2 linked regions of the Diceros bicornis minor genome follow. The protein of the gene in region 1 interacts with the protein of each later gene in a pairwise test. Links are inferred from orthologs where the notes say so. Each region holds a gene or a part of one and is shown on either strand. Other genes may lie near its edges.

Region 1 (16,427 bases):
CATTCACACACACACACACACACACACACACACACTCACACACACCCCCAGGCCTTCAAAGGACCCGCCTTTATGACAGGAGGTGCTCCACATGCACTCATTGTCCCCATTTAACAGATGAAGAAACTGATGCTCAGGCAGGGAAAGGGACTTATCCACGGTCCCATAGGACATAGGACTGCACTGGGCTCTTTCCATCACATAGAGGGGAGGCACAAGGCTTAAGGGCCGAGAAACAATGGGCGATCCTGGGGAATCGTGAATATGCTGTGAAATGGGGATGTCCCCTCACCTGGATGAGGTCTTCGTGGGATATGCCCGTGTGGGCATCAAGACAGCTGGAGACCATCTTCTCTGGGAACAGGGACTGCTGGGGGAGAAAGGAGTCAGCACTCAGGGATTGAGGGTCCAGGTTGGGGATCAGGGTGTCCCAGAGCCCAGACTCCCCTCACACACACTCACTGGGGAGCTCTTGAACAGTTCATACTTGGCGAAGTTTTTCCGGAAGACGAAGCGGCTATCTCCGCCAATGGGCCAGGCGGCCTGCACTTCCACCACCGACTCATGGTCCTCCAAGCCCCGCTCTGCGGTCAAGGGCAAAAAGCAGGGGTCAGTGGAGACGAGCCAGGCCCCCCCAGATGAGCCACCTGCCTAGCCAAAGATGTGAAGTATTGCCTTCTAGCCTAGGCAGCCCCCTGCAGCCCAACTCACCCAGCGCTAGATGGGGGTGGCACTCCACCAGCCCCCAGTTCTCATCACTCAGGGCGTGAGCTCTCTGCACCAGCATTTCGGACACGTAGCGAGCTGTGGCACCCGCCGCCACCTCCACCGACCGGCAGGCCCCATCTTCGCTGTACACCTTTACTACCTGCACCCCAAGAAGTGCAGATGACTTGAAGAAGGGCAAAAGGTGATTCTTTCCCTTCCTGCACCTGTTATACTCTCAGGGACCCCTGACCAAATCCCCCACCTTCATGGAAGTGGGGCTATATCCACCCAGTCCCGTCACACCCCCATATCCCTGCCTCCTCTTTCCCAGGACAACTCACATGCAGGCGGCTGGCGTCTCGGGAGAGCAGCCCCCTTGCACTGCAGGATCCCCCGAGAATGGGGGTCTGTGAAGGAGGACTGCAGAGCTCAGGGAAGGGGTTGGGAATGGAGGGTAGAGAGCTTGCCCGCAGCTCCTCCTCTCGAAGAAGTTTCCTGTGGCCAAGGTGGGGAGGGATCGACTGCAAGCTTCTACGTATAACCCAGCACTGCCCCCCCAGCCCCTCCTCAGTCCCAGCACCCCATTGTACCTGCTGTTTGGAATGGGCAGAGGCTGGGACCTCTTCACCTCCCCAGGCAGAGGGGTGTCAGGAGGTGGGGGAGTCCCAGGAGGGGTGCCGGGGGCCAGGTACAGGTCTTCTGGGGAGCTGCTGGGATGAGGTGGAGACAGACCCAGCTCCATGACATCTGAAGGAGAAGAGGGGGCTGAATGCAGCTGCTCTTTTGCCCTTGTCCCAGGGAGAGGGGCCAAGAGGACCCGGACCTCCCGACCTCATACCCCCCTCAGAGTTTACACTGCACCTCAATGCTCCCCCTCGAACTGGAGTTTCCCTGGAGCCTTTCTACCTGGAAGGGTAGCATGAGCCCATTTTACACAAGGGGACACCGAGTCCCAGAGGAGGAAGCATCCTTGCCCATCACAGGTGACCCAGGGAGTGGAACCCGGTGTTTGGGCTCCAGGTCCAGTGCTCTTCCTTTAGCCCCAAGTTGCCCAGGGGAAGAGCTAAGGGGGTCCCCCTACCACAAGCTAGGCAGCAGCAACAGACTCCACAACCCACAGACTGTCTGGGGCTCAGGCTCTCAGTGTCAGGGCACAGGGCCACCCCTCCATCTCCAAGCATGAGGCACTCACTCCTCTGGGCTCTGCCCCGGGTTTTTCCAGCACTTCGTTGCCAGACCTGGTTGCCAGAGCCTGTTGTGGCAACGCCTGCCCAAGTGCTGAGTGATGCACAGAAGGGGAGAAGGAGGTGGGGAAGGACAGAAACTAGGAGGGCAGGAGGCGGGCTCAGCTGGGCTGCAGTGGGAGGGAGAGGGCCAGCCTGGGGGCCCTTGCCCCAGCAGCTCCCAAACCTTGTGTGCCCTCCCCAGGTCCCTCCTCCTGCCCAACTTTCTTTTTTTTTCCTCCTCCCCAAAGCCTCAGTACATAGTTGTGTATCATAGTTGTAGAGTTCTAGTTCTTCTCCGTGGGATGCCGCCTCAGCATGGCTTGATGAGCAGTGAGTCGGTCTGCGCCCAGGATCCAAACTGGTGAACCTTGGGCTGCCGAAGCGGAACATGCAAACTTAACCGCTGTGCCACCAGGCTGGCCCCCTGCCCAACTTTCTTGAAGCCCCAATGCCAGAGCCATCTCCTCTGAGAAGCTTTCCTGGATTTTCCACATGCAGACCGAAGGGCTCCCTTGCCGCACTGTGCAGCCTCTGCCCCAACTACTGTGCACCTGTCTTATCCACCCACTGGTCTGAAGACACCTGGCACTATTAGGCAAGGCTGGGGCCTTACCCATGTCTTCTCACCCACAGGCGCTGCACAGGCACCTGGGACGAGTAAGGATAGGAGAGAGGGGGCAAAGATGTCCACTGGGCATAGAGGCAGCACAAGCCCCTCCTCCACAGGAACCAAGACCCCTTTGGCTGGGCAGAGACCCAGGAGGGCCTGGGAGAACTCATCAGTTCCAGCCCCCTGCCCGCTCTCCGGCCACTGGGCCAGTGCTGTTAGGCTGCCTGGGGTGCCCTGGGATTGCCCTCCCAGGACGGGGCAGGCCCCTGACCCTTAAGTGAGGGCATGAGGGGATTTGGGGGACAGGTGAGTCAGGGTGGGGCGGGACAGTACTGCCTGGGGCTCTCCATTCAACCTTGACTCATCCGAACAACTTCCTGGCTTAGGAGAAACACAAACAACCCTGCCTCTACCCACCCCCTCCACTCCTGCCCCCATCCTACCAGCCTGGGAGGAATAGGGGAGGCACAGGGCAGGGAACAGGATAGGGGAGAAGGAGGAGGATGCGGGGCCTGAGGCTCCTCTGACATCACCTCCTCTTCCCCACCCTTGGCCTACCTCCGACTGCAACTGCACCAGTCCAGGTGGGACCTGCAATCTGCCCCCAGTCCTGTAGCCACCACCCAGCCCAGGAGCCCCCTCACACAGGAAGGGGAGAAGAAAGGCCCGGCCCGGATTCAGAAGCCCATCTGGAGTGGAGCCGACCTCCCAGTGGTGCCCCTGGCTCACCCAAGGAAACGCACAGCACTGCCTCTCCTGTCTGGGCCCTACCAGGCTTTCATTCTGCTGCTGCTGCCCACCCCTAGCACCCAGGACTCAGAAGGCCCAGGGGAGGACTCAGAAGGCCCAGGGGACTCGTCTGCAACACCTCTGGGGGATGAGGGTCCTGTTAACACACTTTCTTGGGTGTCCTGGCCAGAGGGGTGCCACAGCAGCAGGAGGGGAAAGTCAAAACACCCAAGAGGACTGACACAGGCAGACAGGGAAAGGCCTGGAGGGAGAACGAGGGAGGGGGCTCAGAGTCCTGTGGTGCAAAGGGCAAGACACACCCACTATCGAACATCAACAAACATCAGTACAGCAACACCAAAACACAATGCCCAGACTCCCACCTTCTGTCTAACCTCTGGCAAACAGCCCTGGTGACTTCATTCCGGGGAGGACTAGGGGGAGGGATGGCAGGGGCCACCCCCACCACGAAGTCAGAGACCAACAGAGGAGTGGGGGCAGGAATCGGGCAGGAATCGCACAGTGTTTGGAAGGGGAGAGGGGAGTAGATTTAAATCCGATTAGAGTCTGGGGTCAGAGGGCAGAAGGGCCGATTTAAGACTTGGGTTTTGGCTTTACATCCCTCCACGCTGCCCTCCAGACCCTTCTAGGCAAAGAGGAGTGGGGCAGTCAGGACAAAAGAGATGAGATGGGAGGAGAACGGGGTCCTAGCTGTGGGGCCTGGGCAGGCCCCCTCCCAAGAGATCTGAAGCTTCTGTTGAAACTGACCCCCGAAATCAATCTGTCCCCTCCACACTGCAGCTCCAAACTGTGGCTTCCCTAACCGCCTCTCCTGCCCCGGTGGCTCCGGCCCCACCCTCCTTCCCGCCCTCCCAGCCTCCTGCCTCCTTGTTTACTTCCTGAATCTTGCCCCACCTGGCTGGCCCCAAGGGCGGGTGGCAGGGCCCAGTGTTTAGAGCCGATAGAAAACAAGGCCACCTTGGGTGCTTCCAGGGTGGGGGGAGGGGCTGGTAGGGCAGAGGCCTGGGCTGGGAACCTGGAGGTGGCGGAAAGGCCCCCAGTCTGGCCCAGTACTCCACGTCCCACCCCCATCGGGATTTATTGTAGTGGGGAAGGCTTAACCTTTGGGGGAGCTCTCAGGGTGCAGGGCCCAGGTGAGGAGGTGGGGAAACCCCTGGGTCACCCAGAGTTGGGAGCAGGGCCCAGGACCCTGGGGCCCCGCCCACTCTCTCGATCAGGAAAAAACACCCAAGGGGGTGCGGGGGCAGCTCTTTTAAAGTTTAATTTGGGAAGAATGCTAGACTGTCTGTGGAGTTAATCATTACAGGCTGCTTGCCTTCATGGAGGGCCCCCCCAGCAGGATATCAGGGGGAGAAGGGAGAGCAGAGTCCAGGATAGGCGACCAAGAGGGGGCATTCTTTAAGGGACAGTGGGGTTGGGAGGCCTTCCAATGGCGGACAGGTGCATTCTCCATCCCCAACGTGCCAGGGAGACCCCCACTCGGGTCTTTCCCCAGACTATTCAAACAGACAAGACCATCTGCCCCCCAACACCACAGACTCTCCCTAGGCCCCACTGCGCTGCAAACCCCCCCCCCCCCCCCCCCCCCCCCCCCCCCCGGCATCGGCCCCTCCAGCCTTCCGAGCCCACTTCATTCTGAAGCCGGGAGGGATCCCCGGGCCTATCCCGCCCCAGCCCCCCATCTAAGGACAGGACCCTGTGTTCCCGGAGAGACGGAGCTCTAGCAATTTAGAGAATCCCTCACCTTTACTGCCCTCCAAACTGGAGGATGCCCCCCTCCCCCCGCGGAGACGTCGGTGTTTAGTAAAGACTTTGGGAAACTCAAACTGGGGTAAAATCAAATTAAGCAAAGGAGTGACCCGGGGCAGCTCCCTCGATATTCGGACCCTCTCCTAGCTCTCTTTCTGGGAATGTGGGGAGGGGCTAGTTTCAGCGGCAAAGCGCGTCTCCTGGAGAGAAAATCTGAGATCTTACTTTCCCATCTCCATCAGCTGGTTTCTCCGGGGGGCTGAGGAGGCGGGTACAGAGAGGGAAGGAAGGAATAAGGAGTACAGGAAATGAGAATTTGGGAAAGACTGAGGGCAGATGGTGAGGAGGGAAAGGGCGGGATGGGAGACTGGAGGAAAAGAAAGTGAGGCCGTCAGAGTAACACAGCAGGAGGCCGAATCTTTCCATATTGACCCGGGACCTTCCGGAGCTCCCCACCCCCAAGATGAAGTGATCGCTTTGGTCCTTACCTGGACCCCGGGCGTTGGTACACCTGGCTGGGGCCACTGGTTTAGGGAGGGAGACGCCAGGCCCTTAACTACCTGTCCCCCTCCTGCCCCCGCCCTTGGCCTGACATCACTGAGGGGGGAAGGGAGGGGAGCCAGGCGGGCCCCTGTCCGCACACCTGGGCAGCCAGCCAGCTCCTGGCCCAGAGACGGGCACAGCTGGGGCCCTGGTGCGGCTGGGGGTGGGAGCAGGTTGTCGTCTGGGACCGATCTCGGTCCCCTTACCTGGAGGAGCCGCAGCAGGAGTAGCAGGACACAGCGTCCGAAGTCCGGCTCTGTCTAGGGACCCCAGATTCGAAATCGACTTGATTTCAAATCCACTCCCTCTTCTCTACAGGTAGTAGGAAGGTGTCCCGACTTTGGACGTTGAAGTGGGAGTGGGGGGAGGGTCAGTCCTGTGTGTCCGGGCTCCTGGCCCAAGGAAACTAAAATTATCTTGGGCAGGTGGGGGCGGGGCCGGGGGAGGGGCCTGGGAGGAGGAAGCACAGGAGCAGGGGCGGGGACTCGCTGACTACGCTGGCTGGAATTGTTTTCGCCCTTCTTAGCCCGGCAGCAGGTGCCAAGGGAGAAGCGGGGAAAACAGTCGAACTGAACAGCCTCGAGAGCGAAGATCTAGAGTCCTCACGACCTGGGAGGGAGGGGCTGGGGGCTGGAAGGTAGGGGAAACGCCCCGCCCACTCTTCCGCATGCCCCTCCTCAAACCTGGTCAGTTCACTGGCCAAGCTAGGGGGCCTGTCTGCTGCTCTGGGTCTCACCTCCTGGGGAAAAGAGCACTCTGCGAACGAGGGAAGCCAGCCAGAGGGTCGTCCATCAACATGGCCTGCCCCTTGACCTCCTGCCACAGTCTAGCCAGCCAGGCTGTACCCTAGCCCCTCAGAGGTACCCAGGGTATATCCTCCCTTCTGAACAAAGTCCAGGGTCTCAGCTTCTTCTTCTGAAATAGAAGGGTTTAGGCAGGGTCTCTTGGTGGGAGGAGTGATCTGGGGAAAGCTCTGGCCAGGTGCCAAGGGACTCCCTTAGAGCGATCACGTTAGCTCTCTCCTTCAGCACTAAGCAAACACGAGAGGGCCGGGAGGGGACCTGGGAGGCTGAGATCAAAGGCAGCAGCCTGAAGTGGGTGACAGTTGGGTAAACAAACATCCACAGGGTGATAAGAGGTCTGCCCTGGGGGACCATTAAGGAGTGGCTCCAGCCTCAACTTTCTCCAAACTGGGTTTCCCTTGAAAAACCAGGTTAAGTGAACCAAGCAAAGAAGTCGGGGAGGGGGCAAGGTCACCTGGGCCATGGAGCAGCTTGTGCAAAGCACAGTAGACAATTCACTCAATCATTCATTCCTTCATTCATTCAACTAATATTTGTGAAGTACCTACTATATGCCAACCCCATGCTTGGTACTGGGAAGACAGTGGTGAGCAACAAAAACAGACTCTGCCCTTATTCTCACGCAGCCCAGTCGGGGAGACTGATGTTAATCAAAGAACACACAATTAATAAATGACAGGTGACAACTATTCTGGGAGAATGACTCACCCAGGGATTTACGGAAGACTTCTCTGTGGAAGTGATGATGGAGCAGAGGGGAAGCTGTCTGGGACAGGGAGGAGGTTGGAATTGGTGGATGGGGAAGGGAGGGCACCTTTCATCATGAGGAAACAAGTGCTAAAGCCCTTGGCAGGAGGCAGGAGGGGACACAGCATGCAGAGGCAGAGTGGGGGCGGAGGAGAAGGAAGGAGAGGAGGCCACACAAGTAAGCCCGAGCAGGTATGGAAGGTATGGGGAAAGACAAGTGTTTTGGACTCAGATGTTTTTCTCAAATTGTGGCCTGTGACCACCTGCCTCCAAATCTCCCTCGGCTTATATGAAAAACAGATCCCTGGGCCCTTCTCCATCTACTGAATCTCAGTCTCTGGGGCCAAGACCCAGGAATGTGTGGTATTGACAAGCCCTCAGGTGGTTGTTCTGTAAACCAGGTTTAAGAGCCATCCATCCTGTCTGTCCAGACTGGCAGGGCCTATGGGCAGAGGCCAGACCTGCAAGGTCTATCTGGGCTTATGTAGAGGCATGGGGGAGGAGGCAGATTTCTATTTTGGAAAGATCACTCTGGATGTCAAAGGATAGGTTGGAGAGGGAAGCCAGACTCAGAGGGCTGAGGGCTGTAGAATTCCATTTGTATGGCTTTCTGGAAGGGGCAGAACCATAAGGACAGAAAGCAGATCTGGGGTTGGGGAGGAGGGCGAAGGGTTGACAATAGAAGGGCACAGGGACTTGTGAAGAGGTAATGGACCTGTTGTGTATTTTGGTCATGGTGGTGGATGTACAAATGAGCGTGTCAGGACTCACAAAGAAGTACACTCAAGAGGGTGAATTTTACTGTGTATAAATTGTATATGAATTTTTTAAATTAAAAAAGAACAACAAAGAATAGATTTATAGATCAATGGAACAAAATCAAGAGTCCAAATATAAACCTTTAAGTTTCTGGTCAATTGATTTTTGACAAAGATGCCAAGACAATTCAATAGGGGAAAGGATAGTCTTTTCAATAAATGGTTCTGGGGACAATTGAATATCCACAAGCCGAAAGATGAATTTATATCCTTACCTCACATAATGTACAAAAATTAACTCAGAGTAGATCGTAGACTTAAATGTAAGAGCTAAAACTATAAAACTTCTAGAAGAAACCATAGGAGAAAATCTTCGTGACCTTGGGTTAGGCAGAGATCTCAGATACAACAGCAAAAGCACAAGCAACAAAAGAAAAAGTTGGTAAATCAGACTTCATCAAAACTGAAAATTTTTGCACTTTATAAGACACATTAAGAAAATTAAAAAAAAAAAGTGTCAAAGACTGGGAGAAAATATTTGCAAATCCTGTATCTGATTAGGGACTTTGTATCCCGAATAAACAAAGAACTCTTATGAATCAATAATAAAGAGACAACCCAATTAAAAATAGGCAAAAGATTTGAATAGATGTTTTAAATAAGATATACGAGTGGCTAATAAGCACATGAAAAGGTACTTAACATCACTGGTCATTAGAGAAATGCAAATTAAAACCACAAGAGGTACTACCTCACACCCACCAGGATGGCTATAATCAAAGAGACAGACAACAAGTGTTGACAAGGTAAGGGGGAAACAAATCCTCGTATATTGCCGGCAGGAATGGAAAATGGTACAGCCACTTTGTAAAACAGTTTGGCAGTTTCTTAAAAAGTTAAACATAATCTTACCATAAAACCCAGCAATTCTACTCCCAGGAATCTACCCAAGAGAAATGAGAACACACATACATACAAAGACACTTACATGAACGTTCATAGCAGCGTTATTCAAAATAGGGAAAAACTGGAAACTTCAAATGTCCATCAACTGGTATTAATAGATAAACAAAAGGTGGTATAGCCATACAATGGGATACTACTCACCAACAAAAAGGAACTACTGGTACATGCTACAGCATGGCTGGACCTCAAAAACTTTATACTGAAGAAGCCAGAAGCAAAAGACCACATTTTGTATCATTCCATTTATATGAAATGTCCAGAAAAAGCAAATTTATAAACAGAAAGCAGATCAGTGGTTGTCTAGGGCTGGAGCTGGGGGCTGGATTGACTGCAAACACGCAGGAGGGACCTTTTTAGGTTAATAGAGACGTTCTGTAACTGGATTGTAGTGATGGTCGCACAACTTGATACATCACTGAATTGTTTAAAAATTAACGGTTTAAAGTGAGTGACCTGTTAGTATACTACAGTGGGAAGGAAGAGGCAGCGAGACAGCCTCCATTTCTAGAGTTACAAAATGGTAATAACGATGCCCGCCCTGTAGGGAGGCTGGGAGAGACGGGAGTTGCAGAAACTGGGTGCACGTGATGGGAGCACAGAGCCTCAGGAGCAGGAGACCCCAAAGCCTAAAGCTTCCGAATGCAGGGGGGTGGCGGTCTCTGCCCCAGACTGTGCCTACAGTTTAGAGTTTTAAGAGTCAGAGTATTTGGGTGTGTGACTATGGGGTGGTTTAAAATACCATCAACATGTTAGCGACAAATGGCAACTATTCCATACCAAACCCCAGGCCCTGGGTCCTCTTGCCCCACCACTTTGTCTTCCTTTTGTAAACCGGCATGCGCCTTGCAGTCTAAGATATTTCATTAGATTAAATAGGCCGTGAAGCCCGGCAGACACCAGCTGCTGGACAAGCCCCGCTCTCTGAGAAGCCACGCCCGGGAAGGAGGTCTGGACCGGTCCGACCCGCTCGGAGCCCTCGAGCTGGGATAGAGGCAAAACGTAGCAGCAACCGCGGCCTGCAGGGGGCGCCCGAACGTAACGCGCGGCCCCCGCCCCGTCACGTGTCCGCGGCGTAGCGCACACCCGGAAGCAGCGGCTGGAGCCGAGCGGGCCGCAATGAGTGGGGAGCCGGGGCCGCCGTCGGTAGCGCCCCCTCCCGGGGAGATCGAACCGGGCAGTGGGGTCCGCATCATGGTGGAGTACTGGTGAGCGGCTTTGGCCGGTGGGGGGTCCGGACCGGACGGGAGTGGGTCCCCAGAGGCCCCTCTCCCGAAACCCAAGCGGACCCCAGGTATCGTCTCCGTAGTGAACCCTGCGGCTTCGAGGCGACCTACCTGGAGCTGGCGAGTGCCGTGAAGGAGCAGTATCCTGGCATCGAGATCGAGTCGCGCCTGGGGGGCACAGGTGAGGCCCGCAGAACACCTGCTGAGTCAGTGTTCTAAATCACAGCTCTACCACTTTCTAGCTCTGGCATTGGCTGTTATATAGTGTCCAGCAGTGTCTGGCACATAGTAAAATATCCAGCCAACTTGAGTCCCCTTCCATAGGTGAGGGGGTCACAGATGAAGCCTGTAGAGAAAAACCGGTGAGACTACAGAAGTGTCGGGTTGGGGGGGCGGGTGCTCTTCATCGAGTTACGAAGCCGAGTTCAAAGGAAGGACACACAGGTGATGCTTAGGTTTCTTTGGCTTGACCCAGGGTTGGGAAATGGCTTCAAGAATTACAAGTTTCTAATGGGGTCAGTGGGGGACATGAAGGAGCCTACGTGAAGCCTAAGGACTGTGGAGGGACTCCCTCTGGAGGGACTCCCCTGACTTTTGCCTGTTCTCAGCATACAGTTCATTCATCGGTTTATTTAATACCAGGGGCCTTTGAGATCGAGATCAATGGACAGCTGGTGTTCTCTAAGCTGGAGAATGGGGGCTTTCCTTATGAGAAAGATGTGAGTATGTGCAGTGTTGGGAGGCCCCCTGATTCACCCTGCCCCTACAATGCATCATCCCATTCCACATCTCTGCCCTGTAGCTCATTGAGGCTATCCGAAGAGCCAGTAATGGAGAACCCCTAGAAAAGATCACCAACAGCCGTCCTCCCTGCATCATCCTGTGACTACACGTGACTACGCTGGTGCCCCTTTGGGTACCAGGAGGGAATAGAAGCTTCAGTGGTCTTGGGAGTGGGAATACAGTGTGACTACACTGGTGCCCCTTTGGGTACCAGGAGGCAATAGAAGCTTCTGTGGTCTTGGAATGGGAGAGAGACCTTCTCCGTGGACATTTCCACAGCCACCTTATACCCCCTTCCCAGGATCAGTGCCCACAAAAACCCACTCCCCTGTCCAGCTTAGCCATACCTGTCAGATGCCACCATAGTTCTTATTTTCCACTAGCCCTGGGCAATGTGAGCTATTGGCAATAAAGTGGCACTACAAACACCTATGCCAACTAGTGTCTATTTTTATGTCCAGTTTGGGAATGTGTGTGGGGGGGACGGGGTGCACAGTGGCCAGCCCAGCCTTTATACCACCAGGGTGGCTGTGCTGGGTGGGTGGGCTTTTTCTGGATAGCTACTTCTAGTTCAGTGATCTCCTCTCTCATAACCAAGGCAAGGAAAATGAGTCACACAGTAGACACTGCCTCTTCTTTCCTCTACCCCTCCCTCCCCTGCCCCTCCCCAGAGGGGGAAATTATCCCATTCTGGTGGGTGGCCCTAGGAATTCATTTTTTGGTAAGCAAGAATGATCTGGTTGTCAAAGGGCTCTCAGATCAGAATCCCAACTCCCAGATCCCCCCAACCCAAAAGCCAGGAGACTGGAAGAGAGGCTCCTCAAACTTGCTGAAGATTCCTATCCACTCCCTCCAGGAAAATAAGAGTTGAGTGTTAAGTCAGGAGGTGAGCAGTAAGGGATGGCACAGAGCCACCCCGACATAGGCTGGTGCCCAGCTGTTTTCCAAAATATATTTGCCAATGGAGAAAGTGGGTGTGGAGAAGGGCCATCCCTCCCCGAAACCCAGGGGCACCCCTTCCCTTCCACAGTACCCACTCTCCCCTGAGTCCTTATTTCATCTTAAAAAAAACAAAAACCATAAGTAAAAACAAAACAGAAAAGCACTCTGTACAAGCACTGGATCTGGGGGCTCCTGCTGCTCTCTTCTTCCTGGGGGCAGAGTTGGGTCTCAGGGACAGTCTGTGTGGGCTGCTCTTGTTCTTAGACACTCCCTTGGGCCCTTCCCCTCCTAGGCCCAGCTTCCCTCAGTCCTTCAGTGCCCAAGATCTGAAAGAAGAGGGCCAGGCTGAGCTGCTCCCTCAGATGAGCAGACTGTGTCTGTGGCATCCATTGGACCCTAGAGTCTGCTGGGGCAGGACTCTAAAATCAATCAAGACTCCCCAGTGCTGCCCCCTCTTCCAACCAGGCTGGGCCCCTCTGAGCCACCTGGGAATTGGAGGAGGAAAGAAAGTTCCTGGTATGGCGGGCTCCCCTGGAAGTGGTCCAAGGGCCCTCTCCCCGCCTGGTCCCAACGCAGGCCAGAAGGCAGGCCTTCCCCACTCTGAAGGCTCAGCAGGGCCTCAGCAGACTTGGCCTTTGGGCTCACACTGGCACGTCCAGGCCTAGGTATTCCGGGTTCTCTGCTGTAGGGGTCCCTTCAAAGGTGCTGGGCGGAGAGCCCCGCTCTGATGGGTCCTGGTCCCAGTAATAGAGGTTGTCAAAGGCTGGGCTGAAGGCTGGAGGAGGGTGGGGCTGAGAGGCAGCTCTGCCCCGGGGTGCCAAGTACTCAGGGTTCTCCACGGCACCCCCAAAGGCGAAAACGTCTTTGACAACCCCATTCTTCCCTGGGGAGAGAGTCTTGGGCCTTTCCAAAGTGGCACCAGCAGGTCGACAAGGAGACAGAGGGCCCTCTAGGGGTGAGGGGGGCTGTGGCCGAACCTCTGGCTGGTTCACGTATTCTGAAAAGGCAAGAAAAGGGGGCTTGTCAGGGGACAGAACCCATGTGTCCCGGCTACTACCACTGCCCTCATAGTGGGCCCTGGGCCAAGCACCCCCAACTCCCCCACCTCCCAATCTCTCAGCTCAGGCTTGGACTCCATACCGGGCTGGGGGCTGCAGGACAGGGGGGCAACGTAGCCGTCAGTCTCAGAGGGCAGGGGTACTGTAGGGTCCTCGCTGTACCGTTGTAGAGGGCTGGGGTCATGTTGGGGGAGGCTCTGCAGTCCCTTGGCTGCCCCCATTCCCAAGTCACCATCAAACACATCAGAGCCAGCCCCTTCTGAAGGCGCCAGTGGAGACTTGGGGGGCTCCTCCTCGGAGGGCTCCAGCCCCAGTGTCAGCTCACCACCGCCACTCTGGGGACGAAAGAGAAGGTCATGATGGGAGTCATTCATGGATCTGGGATAGAGACTCCACAAGGTGACAGGGTCACAGGAGATGAACAGAAGTCACCTTTGGGTTATGACACAGTCACTGTGGAGAGAATGGGGTCACGGGTTAGAAAGCAGTAGGAATCCTCGTTAGGGATAATGGGGTCTCCATGAGAGGAGATGGTTGGGGGGACATCAGAGAAAGGGACCCTAGTCCATTGGGGTCGGGAGAGGTAACCAAATCCACCCACCACAGTGTGAACGAGGGCACTGACCCTGGAGGATGAGCTGCGGTGCCTGCGGTGGGCTGTGCCCCCAGCACCGGGGGCAGGGTCTGGGCAGAAGAAGCCCTGCTGGGGTACCAGGTACTCCTCAGCATCCACCAGGTCCCCCATGTCGTCATCCTCCAGCAGCGAGCGGTAGAAGGTGCTGTCCAAGGGGCTGGCAGGGCCCAAGTCCTCATTCTGGGGAAGAGGGAGACAGAGGATGGCAGCCTCTCCCCAGCCCAGTGTGCAGCCTCCCAGGAAGGCTTAGGGAGGACAAGAGGGATGACGAGTCAGGCCAGGGCTGGGCTTGGAGGCCTGGGACCCAGGAGTCATCTCCCTTTCCACCCTCTGCAGGAGAGCGCTCTCAAGTCATAGGCAAGGATGGGGAGGAAATGCCCAATACCTGGATGACCACAAAGCGCTGGGGGTCCCTGGCCATGCGGGAAAATTCGGCCACCAACTCCCGGAACCTCGGCCGACATTCAGAGTCAATCATCCAACCTGGGGGCGGGAGGGAGCTCAGCATCTCAGCTGTGGCTGCAGCCTGCGTGCCGCCCCGCTCCCTCCCTCTGCAGTCTAGTCTAGACACCCCCAGTTACTAGAGTTCAGAGCCCTCGGCTGGTAGAGAAGAGGTACCAGACTCAGGGCCTGAGCCAGAACATTTGAGAATCTCTATTAGTATCCCCTTTTATTTTGCATATAGGTCTCTTTCGAGCTGGTCCTCTAGAGCTCCTCTGGACTGGTACTGTAAAAGGGAAGCGAGACCCTTTTGAGGCTCCTTTAACCATACCAGGGCTCCTAGGTCCACATCCTGCTCTTGGCCCCCTCCCATGACCTTTGTAGGCCCCTCCACCCAGGACCTCCCACCCCTCCTCCAAGCAGCTGGCACAGCTCAGCACGCACATTTGACCATAATCATGTAGACATCAATGGTGCAGATGGGGGGCTGGGGCAGCCGTTCCCCCTTCTCCAGCAGGTCAGGGATCTCCCGGGCTGGGATCCCATCGTAAGGTTTGGCCCCAAAAGTCATCAGCTCCCACACAGTCACACCTGGGCAGAGATGAAGTTAAGAGGTGGGAGAACCAGAGGGAGCTTTAGTGTACTGAGCCCCAAAGCCTCTGCCCAACAGCCTGGTACCACAGGGGAAGGAGGAGAGGGATGCGATGCCAAGGGGCAGGAGCCACCCAGTCGTTCCCCAATCCCTGGGAAGTGCACAGACCCTGGCAGGTTGAGGTACTGGCAGCCCCTCCCTTCCCTCTCACATTCACGGTAAGGTGTCTCTTAATTCTCCCCATCCTGGCTCTCATCCTTCCACCAACATCTCCCCCAGGGCCACAGCTCCTTGTCCACCCCTCCCAACCCGCCCCAGCACGCACCATAGCTCCACACATCACTCTGGTGGGTGAACCGCCGGCGGAGAATGGATTCCAATGCCATCCACTTGATGGGTACCTGGGAGATCAGAGGAGGAAGTCCTTGAACTAGGTGTGGTGGGGAGGTGGCTGTTCTCAGAGTTCTCCCAGAGGCCAGACCCCACTCCACCTTGCCTCAATCTGCTCCCTCCTCTAACCTTGCCCCCATCCGCGTGGTACTCTGTCTCATCAATGTCTAGCAGCCGAGCCAGTCCGAAGTCTGTAATCTTGACATGGTTGGGACTCTTGACCAGCACGTTCCGGGCAGCCAGGTCCCTGTGCACGAGCCTCACGTCCTCCAAGTAACTCATCCCCTGGGATCAGAGGCATCCATGTGGACCACGCTCTGGCCACACCCTCCCAGGAAATCTCCCCAACCTAGCCCTGCGTGGAGACAGAGGCTTACCCCCAAGGGCACCTGCAGAGCCCAGGCCCCCTAAGAGCATACCTTGGCAATCTGCACACACCAGTTCAGCAGGTCCTGGGAGCCCAGGCGCCCACGGTGTTCTCGGACGTGGTCCAGGAGGCAGCCATAGGGCATAAGTTGTGTCACCAGCTGCACTGTGGAAGTCAGGCAGATGCCCAGGAGGCGGGACACATATGGGGAGCCCACACCAGCCATCACATATGCTTCCTGGGGGCAAGGGTACACACTGAGAGGGTATGGGAGACCACAAACCCCCAACCACCACACACCCCTCCTGAGGGCCAAGGCAGCCTAGGGACCCTCACCCAATCCAACCCCATCCATCACAAACCAGAACCATGGCCCACAAACTGGGGAGGTTAAGAGTCGAGGTTTGGGGAATCACAAAGTGTCTCCCCAAACCCAAGGGAAGAGAGAGCCCAGAGCCCAGACCAGCAGCCAGGGGGTCCCTCCTGTACTCCCGGTTGGAGAGGGTGCAGAGGCTTACGTCCAAGATTTCTTTGTTGGCTTTGGGAGATGTGTTTTCCCTCAACACTTTGATGGCCACTGGGATTTTCACATTTTCCCCATCGGGGATCCAGATGCCCTGGGCAGAAAGAGGAGGATGTGAGAAGAAAGAGGGCCAGCCAGATCCAACCTGCAGTCAGTCCAGAAGGTCATTACTTGTGCTCCTAATACCCTTCCCCACCCTTGAGCCAACCCCACCATTGAGCAACAACCCCACTATTGAGCCCCACTCTCCACTCCCTTTCCCCTTGTTCCAGCCTCTGTAACTGCCCTACTCAACAGCACGACCGCCAGCTCTTGGCTGTCTTCCCCAAGGGAACCCTTGGCCACACCCCACCCATCCTCTGGGACCGCCCACCCAAGACTTTGGCCCCACCCCTGACCTTGTAGACTGTGCCAAAAGCTCCGGATCCAAGCACCTTCACCTTCCTCAGCTCTGTCTCTTTCAGGATCCGCATCTGAGCCTGGTTGGGCATCGCTCCACTGGGCGTCAGCGGCTCCACCAGCTGGGGTGAGGGGGCGGTGTGTCAGTGCTGGGGCTGGGCCGCAGACCCCAGGCGGGCAGGGAGGCCCTCAGACCGCCTCACCTCCGTTTCCTG
Region 2 (16,046 bases), on another chromosome or scaffold:
CTATGCCAGACAGGATCTTAAGGATTCACATCTCCTAACCCAGTGTGCAGTAGGGCATGGAGAAGAATAAGCTTCACAGAGGCTTTCTGGCAGAGACCAATAAGACATTGGTTTAATGGGCTGTAAAGTCAGCTCAGGCCCTTGGGCCTGAGTTAGCAGATGGAAAAAAGCATGCTCTTTTCTTCCATCTTTTCCCTACCCCTCATTCTAGAAAAAAATAATTTCTTTGCCCTCCATCTTTAGTAATGGTTTGTGAGTCTCCCATTTCTCAGCCACCGTATCCTCTCCCTGTGGTCACTGAGTTTGTTTGAAGCTCTCCACCAAAACCGCCTGGTTCCCTCCCAAGGACACACAACCAGGCAACTCCCTGACTTCCTCTGACAAATCCAAAGATGATTCATTGGGAGCAGTGAACTGGTGACCAGCCTCTGACCTGGGCCCATTGGGGCATGGCCTTCCTGTCACTGCAAGCAGGAAGGAGAATGAAATTGGCATGTCCTTTACCAGCAAATAACTTTGAAACCCTGTTGTAAATAAAACATGTAAACATGTTACTATCTTGCTGTGTGGTGTCATTAACATCCAGTTGTCCTCAACATGAACCTCAGCCACGAGAGGTAGTAACCTGCTAGATTCATAGGGCAGGATACTTTAGCCTTGAAAGTAGTAGCTCCTGGGTTCTGGGTTTGATGTGGAACTAATCGTAAGTCTTTACTCCTCTGAAACTTGTTTCAAAGAACACCTCCCTGTCCTCAAAAGAAATACGCCTAGAAGGATGCAGTCTCTTTGGAATGGCCTCCACTGCCATCTCCTGAGAGGCTGCTGTCAAAACCAGAATGCCACTTCACACAATGAGAGCTTAAATGATCTATGTGTTTGGAAAGCCAAATTACAATCGTAAGTTTGACTCCTGCTCATGAAATCTGAGCAAGGATGCCATCACATCAGACTCAGGTGCGTCTGCCTCTGCTCTCAGATGGCCCTGGTCCCTGGGTTCAGGCTCAGGCACCACTTGAGTTGTCTCAAGTCCCCTGTAATGGAGGCCATGTAGACCATCCTCCAAACACAGCACAATTAATAAGGTTAACTTTTGTTGCTGTGCTAGCCCCAGGAATACTACAAAGAAAGGCTCTGATTTGTGTTTTATAACTTCAAGTCTTCATGTCTTGGCCTTTTTTAAAGTAAATATACATGAAAACTTATATGAAAGAGGAAGGGAGGCTGGAGAGGGAGAGCTGGGAACCAGCAATTACCTTCAGCCATATCAGAGGGAGAACAGATACATCCATGGTAATCCAAAACGCTTCATTTGAGTCGAGAATTCCTGCGTCCTCCCTACCAAACCTTTGAACTGAAACTGCTGCTGATATTTTTCTGCCCACCCTTTGGTAGAGGAGCTAAAACAGGAAAATTAGGGAGGTGGAGTAAGATCCTGACGTGTGGCAGCCCGGGAGGCGGGAGATGCGTGTTTGGAACCCCACTCCACTGCTTGACTGGCTTGATTTTCCATCTCTACAAGGAGATGGTTGAACTACATCAATGATCTTCAAATTACACTTTGAAGATCTGAAAGGGATTCCTTAGAGATGCTTCAGTGCCCACATGTATTCAACAAAAGTAGCATTTTTTTTCATATATTTGGCTTCCGGGTCAGCAGTAGCTTTTTTGTGTGTGTGTTGAGGAAGATCAGCCCTGAGCTAACATCTGTGCTAATCCTACTCTTTTTGCTGAGGAAGACCGGCTCTGACCTAACATCTATTGCCAATCCGCCTCCTTTTTTTTTCCCCAAAGCCCCAGTAGATAGTTGTATGTCATAGCTGCACATCCTTCTAGTTGCTGTATGTGGGACGCCACCTCAGCATGGCTAGAGAAGCGGTGCGTTGGTGCGCGCCTGGGATCCGAACCAGGGCCGCCAGTAGCGGAGTGCGCGCACTTAACCGCTAAGCCATGGGGCTGGCCCAGCAGTAGCTTTAAAAAATGGCTTAAAAGCACTGAACTAGCCATCTCTAAGGTCCCCACTGGCTCTGAAATGCTACAATTCTAATTAACAAATCAAATAATCAGTGCTGAAATGACCCAAACTTGGGTGATGATGTAACAGCAAGTTGTGTGATTAAATACACAAGCAAGCCTAATTCAGATCCTGTCTCAATTGTCTCCCATTATAATTATCAATCTATGCAAAAGTAATATAGAGTAAAACTTAGTGGTTGTTGTCCAGCATGCTGTGATTGTTGTCTCACTGATTCTATTGTAGAAAGAGCAGTAGTTTGGAAATCCAGAGATCTAACCCAATGGATTGGCATAAAATTAGAGAGGAGAGCAACGCGGCTCATCTGCGCTCTGATGGAAGAGCCTGGACTGGAAAGCAGCAAGCCTGAGTTACCATCCTGGCCTTGCCACTAGTTTGCTGTGTGAACTAAGAGTCCTTCCAAGGCTGACACTCTTCCCATTCTTACTCGAGGGTCTAAAATCACAACTGATAACCATTGGAGAATGTCTCACTGGCATTTCTCTTTCATTGTGCTGTCTCCCCTGGATGTAGCGTTATCGTGCGTGCACTGAACACTACTGCACACCGGGGCGTGCACAGGCAGGCTTCACTTGGGGCTCAGCCACTTACACCTGCAACAAAGACAAATCGTTCCACAGCCTTTAACGCACAAGAAATCTGTTTCATTTCTTTTCTAAATGAAATCAAATCTAGCATCAAACTAGCTAGCACTCGCCAAGATCTGTGAGAGGTCTCTCGGTCGTTTTTTATTGTCTCGTCTCCTCCTCTTGGATACTGGTCTACTCATTTATTCGAGTATTCACTGTGCCAGGTACTGTTGTATGCAGTGGGGGTACAGCAGGGAACAAAACCAAGTCCCTGCCCTCTTTGAACTGTCTCATGGAGGAGAGAGAGTAAACGAATATAGAGCATGTCGAATGGTAACAAGGACCAGGGAGTGAAGTAAAGTGTGAGGGAAATAGGGAGCACAGAGCATGAGGATTGCTCTTCTATAAAGCGGTCGGGGAAGACCTCTGACAGAGAGATGTCTGTGCAGAAATGTGAAAGGACTAAGAGAGTGAGCTATGTAAACATGTAGAGGAAAGAGATTCCAGGCAAAGGGCACAGCAAGTGCAAAGGCCCTAAGGTGGGAGATCTGGATTGTTTGAGGACATGCAGGGAAGCCAGTGGTTGGAACTGGGTGACTAAGTGGGAAAGTGAAAGAGATGAGTTCAGAGATGGAGAGTTGGAAGTGGGGGCAGAACCTGTAAGCTGTTATGAGGTTGGCTTTCATAAAATGGGAATTCATTAGAGGGTTTTAACCGAGGACCACAACGATCTATCTTGCACTTTAAGGGGATTATGCTGGCTCTCATGTGGCTGCAATCTAGGGAGAATGGAAGAACAGAGCAGCTCTGTCTGCACACAGGCCGCATGTGGGCCCAGCCTAATACCAAGGGCCACAGGTAAACCCACGCCCCACCATCATGCTCTCCTATGACACACAAAAGAGAAAACAAAAGGCTTGCTCAAAAAAAAAAATTAAATTAAGACATGCTGCTTGCCACCCTAGCTTGTTTCTGACGCCCTGGTTAATGAAATGATTGAAATGATATTCTACTCACTCACACAAGAAGGGAGCAAAGAAAACCATCCTGACCTGTGCCTTCCCTGTTCCAGCCTCCGACTCCTGTTGGCACGCCAGCTGCCCTTGGTGTTTCTTCTGAGATGCGCTTTGCTCTCGTCGATGCCTAATGTGACTGCCCACCCTGCTCCCTCTGCTGAGGAGCTGCCTCCTTCCTGGAGCAGGGGACAGACGGGCTCTCTTCTGTGGGCTGGGGGAGGGACGTCCGGCTGAGACAAGACTAGGGGCTGTCAGCAGACATGTGCTCATCCAGACGTGCCTCCCAGCTGGCTCTACTCCGGCTCTGTGGTTGCCAGGACTCAAGTGGAGGCTGCCAGACATAGAACTCCAGAAGGACCAAGCAGGCAGAGGTCACCAGACTTAAGGGAAGGGTTCTCTTACTGTCAGCCATGCCAACCCCCCTCCTCCACCAGGGCTTAGCCTAAGTGGGGAACGGAAACCATCCCCTTGTCTGCTCACACTCCTTGCTTCCAAATTCTCCTCACTCTCCCCAAGGGCCTTGGGTGGAGCAGGGGCAGGAAGCAGAGAAGTGAGAGAAATATTTCTGTACTTTCTAAATCTTTCTGTCCTAACCCTGCTCTCTCAGAACTTTAACTTAAAGGGAAGGTATTCGCGGCCTTTGTTCTCTGTTTCAGACTTGTCTGCACTGGAGAAGGCCTCCAGGACACAGATGAACGAGTGGGTGGGGCTTGCCGCCATCAAGGCTCCACCTATCACCCTGCGGTGGTTGTCTCAGCTCCCAAATCTTCAGAAACAAAGCCTAGCTGGAGCTGTCTTTCACACAACGCAATTTTGGCATTTTTTGGCCTAGAAATACAAAAGCGGCTGTTAACCCCGTCCTGGAGCAAGGAGACACACCGGGCCTCAGGTTGTCCTTCCTGAGAGAGGCAGTGCAGGCCTGCCGTGTTCACTTGGCTGATGAGCGCACAGCAGGAAAACAGGCTAGACACTGATCGATTTCCCAGTATCTCGCCCCATTACACACCCAGGTCATAAATTCACAGCAGCAATAAGCACCTAGGAGAACTTCTTAGAGCCCAATTAACTCTTATGGTCAGGCACTGTGCCAAAAGCCAGAGAACAATAAATACAACACAGTCCCCGCCCTGAAGGGGTTCGAAGTCTACTTGGGGAGACAGACATTTAAACAACTAATCCCAACAACTGAGAGGTGCTATCACGCATGGTGCCGTGGGGACACAGAAGAGCAAGAACCCGGCTCTCAGGACGGGAAGGCTTCACGGAGGTGCTGACACTTGGGCCACATTTTTTTTTTAATAACAATTTTGTTTTTTACAAAAATTACACTTGATCTTTGTAATAATTCAAGCAATAAGAGCCCAAAGAAGAAAGCAACAAAATACCTCAAGCCCCACAACCCAGAAATAACCAGTATAAACTCTTAAAATGTGATTTTATTGGAATTTTACAAGAGAAAAAGAAACTGCTGTTAAAATGACGGAACTTGTCGTGCAAAGGCCCAGAGTATAAATGTGACAGCAAGCCGGGTCCGCCTGGAATGCAGAGTGAGTACAAGGCGGCGGCCAGCCGAGATGACCACTGCACGGCGGCAGGGACCGCGTCTGCCTTACGTGCAAAGCCAGGGCCTCTTGTGCAATGGGAGACGGCCCGCAAGTATGTGCTTCGAGACGGAAGTAACACATGGAAGGTCGGCGGGCTAAGCATCAGGCGAGGAAGAGCGAGCAGTCCCTTAAGTATAAAGAAATGAGCCTAATGCATAATGAGAGAATAACATAATAGCAGCCCCATTTAACGAGCTCTTGCATGTGCCCAGTCCTAAGCAAGCGTTTTTCATTGTTAGCCCCGTTATTTCTCACAACAGCATTGCCTACGCACTGTCATTACTGTCATTTTACATCCAAGGAAACACCCAAAAAGGTTGGAGGCCCTGCCCAAGATCAACCAAGTAGTAATTTAGGATCTGAACTCGTGCTGATGTTCCTCACCTAGGGCACCTGTCTTCCAAAGAGGATTCGGAAAGGTTTTGCTGTTAGCAACATCACTGAGTTAGCATGGAGCCCCTGCCCTCAAGGGGCTCTGCTCACTTGGGTGCATAGGTTCTGTCAATTTAAAGCCGGTCTTAATACTTTAGAATCGTGAGTCGCATTCAACTCCTGAAATCATTGAGGCTGGTGAAAGGCAAGTACAAGAGCACGCCGCTCTAAACACAGCGCCGTTTCCCAGAAGGAGGAATTGTCTTCCACACTATGATGAATAATTTCAGACACCTATTTTGTGTTTAGGTTGGTTGGTTTTGGCACCTCGGGAGGGAATGGAGAGCAGGGTGAGGGCGCAGCCGGGGCCTGGAAACCCGGAGCTTGGCCTGTAGCCTGCGAGCCTCCTTTGAGGGGCTGTTTCCCTCAAGTGTGGGGGCAGGAGGAAATCAGAAGACTGGAGGGGAGATTAGTCTGACTCAGGCAGGCTGGTGGATGAGGGAAGTGGGGACTCAAGATGGTCACACACAGGGGGACGTTCTTGAAAAGCATTTTTTTTAAGTAGCAGTCAGAGCTCCGAGGTTCACCCTTCCCGTGTACCACCTTCTAAGCTCCCGCTTCACACACCATCCCCTATTGGCACCAGTGGCTGAGGGCAGGCCTGAGGGCCTCTTTCTTCCACCAGTCCCGGCCACCACCCAGTGTGACAGACTGCTGGTCTTTTTCCCTGTGAGGTGTCCTAGTTGTTACTCAGACCTGATCCAAAGGAGAAGTGGGCAGAGACCCAGGTTCCAGCTCTAGAACCAGCTGTCTCTGAGCTTCCTGCCAGGTAAGGCTACTTGGAAGGAAGGCAGCAAGGACCTGGAATGGCAGAGCTCTGGGGGGCCTTCCTGGGCCAACCTGCAGCCCCCTCCCCTGGGGGCCCTGTGAGAGCCTAGACGTACATAGGGCAGGGGCTGACAGCTCAGGGAGGCCAGGGGCCTTGATGTCCACTGGGAAGAGGTGGGAGAGAGGCATAGGGAGGAGGCATCACCTATCTTCCCTACCATCCACCTGGGAATCCATTTCCTTGTGGAAAGTGAAGTCAAAGGCTCTTCTTCACACCCTCATAATAGTCTTAGTGGCCCCTTCTCTTTGGACTCTCCCAAGATGCAAAGCGAGTTTCAGGAGATTGGTGAGGGGAAGGGAGTTAGAAACAAATCTGGAGCAATCTTTGAAGTTTGGCACACTTGGGGTGCACATGGGGGTGTACAAAAAGCAGGCCTGGGATGGATCTTCTCCAAGAGCCCTGCAAGGGAGACAGCCAGCACTCAGGGGCCACTGCAGGCAGGCCTTCAGGAAGAGATGGCCTCCAGGGCCCCGCTAACCCAGCCTCAGCTCCACTCTGAGGGTCAAACCCAGAGCACAGGTTCTCAAAGGTGGAACACAGACCAGCTCCATTAAAATCACTGGGGAAGCATTTATGAAAACAACCTGTCCCCCTCTGGACTCTCTGCCCATGGAACAGCCGCAGGTGCCAGAGCTCTGCGTTTTTCTAAAAAGCGTCTTCCTAGGCTCCTTAGACCTGCTAAAAAACATGATAAACCTGGAGGTTTATAAAACACTAGACGTCTCAGAAACCCAGGGTGAACAAGCACAGATACCCCACCACCTTGCTCCAGCCTCAGTCACACTCCCACAGAGCACGGCACACCTGGCTGACCCAGGGAACAGGGGCACAGACAAGTTTTCTTCTCTTCGTAAGAGCTGAGCAGCGTTTCCTGTGCCCCACGCTCCGTTAGCACGTTGGTGGTGTCGCTTCCTGTGACTGACTCTCTGTTTCCATTCCGGCACAGTGTTTGCTTTTTTCTCTCTGCTTTGGGGGTTGGAGGAAGAGAAGCTTCTCACGGTGCCTCTCTAGGGCCTCTTGGCAGTCTCGCCCTGGTGCCCCTCACACTTCTACCAGAGGCAAAGACCACAGCTTCTCCCGGAGCCGCCTCGCCGGGGGAGCCCACGCTGGATGAGCCCTCGCCTCTGCAGTGGGCATTGTAGCCGCGTCCAGGTAGAACCAAGCCTGTTGTCTTCGTATGTTGGGTCAACTCAGCCTGACATTTCAGGGGTAGGCACAAAGCAGGGAGTTTGTTGGAGGAAAGAAAGTTCTAGAGAGACAGATTGGGAGCTTTAGAAAGGAAGAAATAAAAACCAATAGACTTTTTTTGTGAGAGACTTTGGTGAATAAAGATTTAAGAAGAAATTTTGAGAGTTAAGAGTTGTACATTAGGGAGGGTTTGGAAGACATGAAAACCAGGAGGATTTCTGTCATTCTTGTCTACTAAAAAAAGTGGTTATAGCACACAGTATGATATGTAAAACACAAACCAATTTTGCCTTTTCTGCTGGGAGTCAACAACTTAGGAAGAGCCAGGAAAGTGGCAGACATGCTGGCTGGCTGATTGTGATTGAAAGGAGGCTTAGAAGGAGGAGCTGAAGCCAGAGAGGTTCCTGTGACAATGGCTGTCACCACCCCAACCCTCTCAGAAATCAGAGGGAGGACGGCGGAGCCCGGCACTCTGCAGGTCACTCGCAGCAGCCTGGACAGGTGAGTGGCTCTGGGTGGTGAGCTCCACCCTCCCTTGATTAGACAGAGGGCCCTGCTCTACCCTGGCAGCTTCTACCCCAGCAGTGCTGCCACCCCTTGCAACCAGGCTCAGGTCCACTGAGACCACCAAACTCTAGGCTCAGAGAGGTTTGCTCAGGACTGCTGGGAGGAAAGGAAGAGGTGTCGAGGAGAAGAGGGAGCTGCTGGGGAAGAGGAAGGCTCTGACAACACAGGATTTTCTGAGAGCTGGCTGCCTGGCCTGGTGGACTTCTCTCCTCCCTGAGGTCCTGATAACTGTCCTCAGTCTTTCCTGTCCCTGATCCCACCAATCATTCCTCAAAAAACAAGTAGGTCCTGCCATGATGGAAACAAAAGGCCCACTTATCTCAAGGATGTGTTTTTAGGTCCTAAAAACTTGCCATGAATGAAAAATGTAATCATAGATACGATAAAGATATGTCTTTAGGACACAAAATCTCACAGAACTAATCATGGATGTAAATTTTACAGCTAAAACTTTCAACATTGGGCTAACAAAAATAAAAAGTCCATCAGCAGTTGAAAGGGTAGGAACACTAGTAGGTATAAATTTCAGTGCTATGATAACAGTACAACTCAACCGTAATAAATTTAAAATCACTCTAGTTTGGGGAAATAAATGTTATTACCATGACAAACACACACATGTCATTTGCAGGTGGACAAGAGCATTGATGGGGGATGAATTAATAAAGCTGTCAGAACCCTGCAGCCCTCACCCCCCAAAAAAACTATTTTTATATTCATTCACTCGTTTATGAATTCACTCACTTGTTGATTTAACAAATACTCATCAAGCCCCAATAAGTCCAGGCACTGTTCCAGGCACCCAGTGAGCAGGAGAGACAAGTCCATGACCTCCTGGAGCTGACAGCCAAGTGGGCAACTCAGAGATAAGCAGAGAAGCAAATGAATGTAGACTATAATGTCCATTGGTCGTAAGTGCTAGGAAGAAACACCAGAGGAGAGTATGGGGACTGACAGTAACAGGGTGTGGCCCAGGAGCACCTGTCTGAGGAGGTGCTATTTCAGGAGAGACCTGAATGAAATGAGGGCCCAAGCTGCGCAGACAGCTGCAGAGGAGGGCTCCAGGGAGAGGGAGCGGCAGGTGAGCCAGGACTGTGCTTTGCGTGGTCAAGGAACAGCCAGGAGTCCTGGCAGTCAAAGTCAGAGGGAAAGGGGTAGGAAATGAAGTCAGAAGGTCACAGAGGCCAGAACAGAAGGTGCTGGAATTCCTCCCTGGGGAGGGACCATGGGTGTCATCCCGAGTGTGATGGGGAGTCATGGAAGGTTGCAAGCAGAGGGGCGCGATCTGATTTACTGTTGAGAGAATCACGCTGGCTCACATGTGAAGATAGTATTTTGTGGCCAAGAGTGAAAGCAAGGAGACCCATTAGGGAGGCTACTGCAAAGGTCCATGGGGAACACACAGTGGCTTGGAGCAGGGTGGTGGCAGTGGAGGAGCGAGAGGTGACTGGGTTTGGGATAGATGCTCAGGAGTTGAGAAGACAAAATCTACTGGTTGACTAGAAGCGGGTCATGAATGAAAGGGAGCAGTCAAGTATGGCTCCAGGGTCTTGACCAAGCTACTAGATGATGGGAAACACCAAAGGAGGAGCAGCTTTGTGGGGGGAGAGCAAGAGTTCTGTTTTAGACATATTTGGTTTGAGATGTCTATTGGGCAGCCTGGTGGAAATTTCCAGTATAAAGTTGGGTAAACAAGCCTAGAACTCAGGAGGACAAAAACCTTCCCTGCTAGATGACCTGGTTTCTAATATTTGGGGGTAGCATGTCTGCTAGTGATTCCTTTTGGAACCTCGATTGGCTGCTTCCTGTTACAGTAGGCAAAGCAGAGCAGGAACTCCAGGCCTGCCAGAGAATTACAAGCAGCGTGGCCTTGCTTGGTGCATTTGCACTGGTTAAATTACACAGAACAGCGGAGTGCTGCTTGGAGACCAGCTCTCAGGTTGGTGCTGTGGGGGTCACTCAAGCACGCAAGCTGGACTCTGTCACAGGGCCACTCCGTAGCTGTAAGTTGAGTAATCCTCTCCTCCAAGCAGGACAGGAAGCCCAGGAGCAGGATGAGGGGAAGCAGGGGCAGATGGACTTGATGTGGCGAGTTTGGAGGACAGTGCGGTGCTCTGGAGCTAGCACAACCCTTGGGCCCAAACAGACCTAGACTCACATCCATCTTTGCCCCTTCCCACCCATGAGGTCTTTGACACGTTCCTCTACATTTCTGAGTCTAAATCTCAGGTTCTTTGGCCACAAGAGAGACAGGACTGTTGTAAAGATTAAATAAATTTCACATGCAAACCCCTGGAATCCAGTAGGCATTCAAAAGGGATAGTTCCCTTCTCCTGTGTCCAATTTCTCTCCATCCAAGAGATGACCCTCTCTTCCACCACACAGCCCACCCCCCTTCAGCTTTCCTTCACAGGCCTCCATCGCAAATCCTGGGGCTCTAACTCCTGAGGGAACTATCTTCTCCTCCACTCCCCTATGGCTGGGCATCGCACTTGTTTCCTCATAGAGATAAAGAGCAAAGCAGCAACATCTTTTCTGGGTTCGCGGGACTCCTCTCCATCCTCCTGGTCATCACGGTTTTCTGCGTCCTGTGGAACTGGAATAAACGGAAGAAGTGTGAGTCCCTTGTTTGTCCAAAGTTGAGACACACTGGGATCAATAATCCAGCCTGGCGTTTAAAGCCCAGTTTATTCTCCAGGGATAAACTATTGCACTGGGGAGGCCTCTGTTTTTATCTGACATGCTGGTCGTTGTCTCGCTCAAGATCCTAAGATCATGGCTCCCTCAAGATCGTGGCTCAAAGGCTCTGTGCTGACTGGAGTTCCATTTTGAGTCATTGCCCTGGTACCCCTGTACCCCTGTCTCCTCTTCCTGCTTCTGTGCACGAGTCCCCTATTCTTCAACTCAAATGGAAAGGGTCAAGTCTAAAAATGTACTTTTTATGATACCTGATGAGAGTGGGGAATGTCTCCAGGGACCGTGTCATCCCCGGGTCCCCACATCCTGTGTAGCCAGCCCACTGTGACTCCACCTCTCTCACTGCCTTGCAGGGCAAGCTCCTTATCTCCGCACTACTGCTGGGCCCTCGCTGACTCTGCCTAGACAAGGACAACGAGCCAAAAATACTTACGACCTCTTGCCCCGCAGGCAAGAAGAGCTGGGTAGGTTTTCCTTTCCCAAGCATGGAGTCCAGACAAATGACACTTCTGCCCCCAGATGCACATCTCACCACCCAGAAGCAACTTTCTCTGAACTTCCAGACCTTTCTGCCCTTCAGAGTACATGGAGAAGGGGATGGATAGACTGCAAGATACAGCTCCAGGGGAGGCCTAGCAAGCTCTAAAAAGAGAGCAGGGGGCCATCTAGGTTTGGGGTTTGAGTTTTTCTTGATGTCAAGGCAGCAGAGGACAGATGGGTGTGTCTAGAGGTGGGAAAGACACTCAGAAGGAGAACATGGCCGCCCGCATTACAGACAGAGACGGTTTGCCCCAGGAGCCCCATTTCCAGCCTCCCCAACCTCTACTCTCGTGTCCTCCAGCACCACAAAGTCTGAGGAGGGCTCAGAACACATCATCCCTGCAGCTCTGCCCTTCTTACCACAGAGCACCAGGCCCCAAACACCAGACAGCACGCACACCCACTCCACCCACAGTGAGGGGATGTTGGGGCTGAAGCACTCAGAGGACGGGCTATCTTCAGGATTGTTTTCTGTCCTCTCAGGGAGACATCAGCCGAGGAGTATCCGTATTTTCAGTACCGAGAGCCTCCTCTCCAGAAATTCTGACAGCCCTCCCTCTGAGCACATGGTAAGAGTCAAGTGAAATGACAAGCCCTTGGGAGAAATGACGTGTCTCTGGCAGAAGAACTGAGGGGAAAGAGGTCCAGGTCTCAGATCTTGTTTCGCCGCAAACAGCATGTCCTTTGGCAGTCGGCCTGCAGCCCTAATAATAAATTGGAAAGACTAGCCTCAGCATCTCCCCACTGCCCAAGGAGAAAAATTTAGAAAGATAGGAGCAAGTGCTTGGGATTTTAAGAAAGGCACCAGGGTGCATGAATTCAAGGACATGATGTTAAAACTGAAATGGATTGTTTTAACAAAGACATGATAACATACTTATCCAAATGGGTGCTGTCCCCTTCAAAGTCATCACCTCAGGAGGGTACCCAAATATTCCAACACTCCAGTTGGTGTGCAAAACACCCTTAAAACCCTGCTTTGGACTTACTTCTGGGGCCTGTATCAAATTGTTTCAATTCTCCTCAATAGCAGAAATATTCCTAAGTCATTCAGCACTGTAACTAGTGTAGAAAGTGTCTGATCACAGCAAGTGTCTGATATCCTTTGAGGTTCCAATTGTTATTAATTGGAATAATTAAACGGAAAAAAACCCGTGTGTCTCAGGATCTGGCTCTGAAGGCAGCCCCCAAGCAGGAGCCCCACACTGTTTGAGGCAGAGGCATCAGGGACAGGAGAGTGATTACTTTGAAGAGCAGGGTGTTCATTTCCATAGATAAGGTCTTGTTTGCTTGTTAAAGAAATAATCCCTTTGGTTTTGTGGTCATCCTTGGGTAAGTGCAGTCATGCTGCTGCTGATGACTCTGTTGTCACCCAGCCTCCTATTACCCAGAGGTTTAGGTTCAGTTACCACGCGGCCACCTCCACACCTCCACGTTACCACTGCCACATTACCACCTTTGCTTCCTCCTCCTCTCGCATGTCCCATCCTTGGGCTCTGCTCCTGCCTCTAAGACTTCCTGGGCAGCAAGTCTGAGTGGCTGATAAAGGGCAGGGAGGAGGAAACCCCACTGCCAAAGCTGGCTCCGGGCTCGGGTGGGCTCAGAGGGGATTTTGCTTCGAGAGCTTAAGTCCCAAACTGACGTAAGCCACAGACATGTTTGGCTTGGACCCTGTAGTGTTTGAAGAACATTTTGAACCAGTTGCCAACATTTAAATCTCTAAAAGATTTCACATTAAAGTCTGGATGTCCAGCTTTCTTGAAAATTCAGAGCTTCTGGGAACATCAGACCAGCATCCCTAAAAAGCTGTAATCTGCTGACTGTGTGTATCAACCGCCCCTTTACTAATAACGTCGGGCATTTTTTAGTATTTTCTATGTGCCAGGAGCTATCTAAACACTTTACTCACAGTAATCCATTCACTCCTCACAAAAAAAGTCATGATGTAGATTTTAAGATTATCCCCATTTTACAGGTTAGCGAACTGTGGCACGGAGAGTTTAGGTAACTTGCCCCAACTCAGCACCGAGTGCTGAGGCGGGATTTGCACCCTCAGTCTCAGCCTAGTCTCTACCATTAGCCACTGTGCTAAATCACCTCTCAGGGTGCTCTGAGACACAGCCCCTCCAGTTCATCATACCCCACCCCCACTCCACATTGTGCCAAAAACCAGTTGCAATTTATCATCACGTTTACACTGTTGCTTTCCTTAGACTCAGCTCACTTCACTCATACCTACCTAGCATCTAAAGCCTCGCAGTTTGAGATCCCAGATCTAGAGCTTTTCTCCCGGGTGGAGAGCTGAGTGAAGGAACTGTCCGATAGCAGTGCTGGGCAGGGAGGAGGAAAGGTTCCGTCCATATTTCTGCTTCCATCCTGTCACTAGCTTTCTTTTCTTACTCACAGCCCTCCCAAGCAGGCACTGCCTTGCAGACGCATAGAGCCCATCCTTATGCCGTGGGGTATGCAGTGGGCATCTATGACAATGCCATGGGGCCCCACGTGTGTGAGAACCTCACTCCTTCAGCACACTACGTCAACATTGGAGCTTCCAGAGATTGCCCGAGCATTTCTTCAGAGGATTCGAGAGATTACGTCAATGTCCCCACAGCAGAAGAAATTGCTGAGTCTCTGGCTTCTACCAGCAGCCCTCCTGGGAACCTCTTTGACCTCCCAAGAGCCCAGGAGCTGGAGTTTCCTGAGGAAAGAGACGAGGGCTGTGGGAATGCCAGTGACTGCCCCAGTTTTTGGTCTCCAGGAACTGAGAGCAGTGATCCACTCAGCGATGGGGAAGATTCTTCTCAGACCTCAAATGACTATGTCAACATGGCGGGGTTGGATCTCGGGGCCATTCAAGGGAAGCAGCCCTGGGCGGCTGTTCAGTGCTGCAGAGATTATGAAAATGTCCCACCAGCAGATTCTAATGGAAACCAGCAGCAGGTGGAGGAAGAAGTGACATCCTCAAACACAGACCGTGTAGAGGGCAGGACAGATGGTCCAGGGACCCACATCCAACCTGTCATGCAGTCAGGGAGATTCTTGGCTTTAGAGGATTATGTAGCCTGTTGGTCCTCTGCACAGAGTGAGAACAGTCAGATGAAACATGGAGAAGAGGTGTCAAACGAGGACTCCAATGACTATGAGAATGTGCTAGCTGCCAAGTTAGGAGGCAGGGACTCTGAGCAGGAGCCTGAGACACAGCTCCTTCCTGATGAGTTAAGATCCAGCCACCCAGCTGGAAAGCCATGTGAAATGGTCTATCCTGCCAGATCCGTAGCCACCACAGGGTCTAGTGAAGACCCTTGACCATCCTGTATTTCAGTGGTTAGGCTGAAAAGAGGCTGAAATAAGTGCGGAGCTAAGAGGCTCACAAAAGCAGAGGTTTGGGAAAGGCAGAAAGAAATTCTTCTCAAGTTGGGTGCTGTTATCTCTCATACCAACCTAAGAATGTTTGCTGAAACCACCTTCTAGGACTGTTAGGAGATTAAAAATGGGAGAGTACTTTAGTGCACAGTGGAAACATGCACTAGTCTAAAATCGTTACCTTCACTTATACCAGCAGGCTGCAAAGCAAAAATACAGATTGTTTTGTAATCCAGGCAGAAGCCAAAAGGAAGGAAGAAGTTGGGATACAGGTGGGGAGACAGTGTGGACAAGCAAATACTGGAGAAGATGTGGAATAGGAACTCGCACTCAGTGCTGATGGAATTGCAAAGCATAACATCCACTTTGGAAAACTGTTTGGCAGTTTCTTATAAACACACACTTGTTGTACGACACCGCCATTCCACTACTAGGTATTTACCCAAGTGAATGGAAAACTTGTGTTCACACAAAAACACACACATGACTGTTTACAACAGCTCTATTCATAATTGCCAAAACCTAGAAATAACCCAGATGTCCTTCAACAGGTGAATGGGTAAATAGACTGTGGCGTGTTCATATGATGAGTTTAGCCATATTCAACAGTAAAAAGGAATGAAGTATCGGTTCATGCAACAACGTGGACAAAACTTAAATGCATTTTGTTAAGTGACAGAAGCTAGAACTATAAGTCTACATATTGTATGATTCCATTTATACAACATTCTGGACAAGGCAAAGCTACAGGGGTGGAAAACAGATCAGTGGTGGCAGGTTTGGGGAAAGGGGAGAGGTTTACAACAAAGGAGCTGCACAAGGGAATTTTTAGGATAATGGAGCTGTTCTGATTGGTACTGTGGTGGTGGATACATGACTCTATGCATTTGTCAAAACACAAAAAACTGTGTAACACAAAGAGTGACTTTAATTGTATGCAAATTTTAAAAAATTAACCAGGCTGTCAGGGGAACCCATGATAGAATATACATTGTGACAAATGAATTTAACTGTATTACAAATGTAATCCCACTGAAGGGGGTGCGGAAAAAAGGACCTGGCCTAATTAACTTTGGAAAATAATGTTTTTACTTGAAACTGTAAGATAAAGACACAAAGAACTGAACACAAACACTGCACTCTAGTTGGTAAATTTATATGGCACAGGAGTATAGGTTAGCAATTCTCAAACTACTTTGAATGTATACT

What was found.
Region 2: the proteins of GRB7 (region 1) and LAX1 interact in binary tests that used the Homo sapiens proteins (3 or more experiments, as listed by UniProt). The two-hybrid records come from large-scale screens. The link is inferred for Diceros bicornis minor from reciprocal best matches to the Homo sapiens genes GRB7 and LAX1.

Annotation. Positions count from the first base shown.
Region 1 is NC_080757.1:39,382,730-39,399,156, reverse strand, and holds the start of GRB7 (growth factor receptor-bound protein 7), read right to left. Parts: upstream 6,102-16,427; 5' UTR 5,793-6,101; intron 5,763-5,792; exon of another isoform or gene 5,532-5,762; intron 1,456-5,531; 5' UTR 1,451-1,455; coding exon 1,299-1,450; intron 1,204-1,298; coding exon 1,050-1,203; intron 869-1,049; coding exon 712-868; intron 585-711; coding exon 463-584; intron 371-462; coding exon 293-370; intron 1-292. Other genes in the region: MIEN1 (migration and invasion enhancer 1), read left to right, coding at 9,977-10,065, 10,167-10,264, 10,726-10,802, 10,886-10,969; ERBB2 (receptor tyrosine-protein kinase erbB-2), read right to left, coding at 12,450-12,805, 12,949-13,201, 13,492-13,680, 13,886-13,983, 14,386-14,532, 14,859-14,934, 15,053-15,208, 15,343-15,528 and 3 more. UniProt on the Homo sapiens protein: Adapter protein that interacts with the cytoplasmic domain of numerous receptor kinases and modulates down-stream signaling. Promotes activation of down-stream protein kinases, including STAT3, AKT1, MAPK1 and/or MAPK3. Promotes activation of HRAS.
Region 2 is NC_080743.1:101,881,233-101,897,278, reverse strand, and holds the start of LAX1 (lymphocyte transmembrane adapter 1), read left to right. Parts: upstream 1-7,386; 5' UTR 7,387-7,634; exon of another isoform or gene 7,635-7,975; 5' UTR 7,976-8,082; coding exon 8,083-8,171; intron 8,172-10,743; coding exon 10,744-10,853; intron 10,854-11,287; coding exon 11,288-11,398; intron 11,399-11,957; coding exon 11,958-12,043; intron 12,044-13,880; coding exon 13,881-14,780; 3' UTR 14,781-16,046. UniProt on the Homo sapiens protein: Negatively regulates TCR (T-cell antigen receptor)-mediated signaling in T-cells and BCR (B-cell antigen receptor)-mediated signaling in B-cells.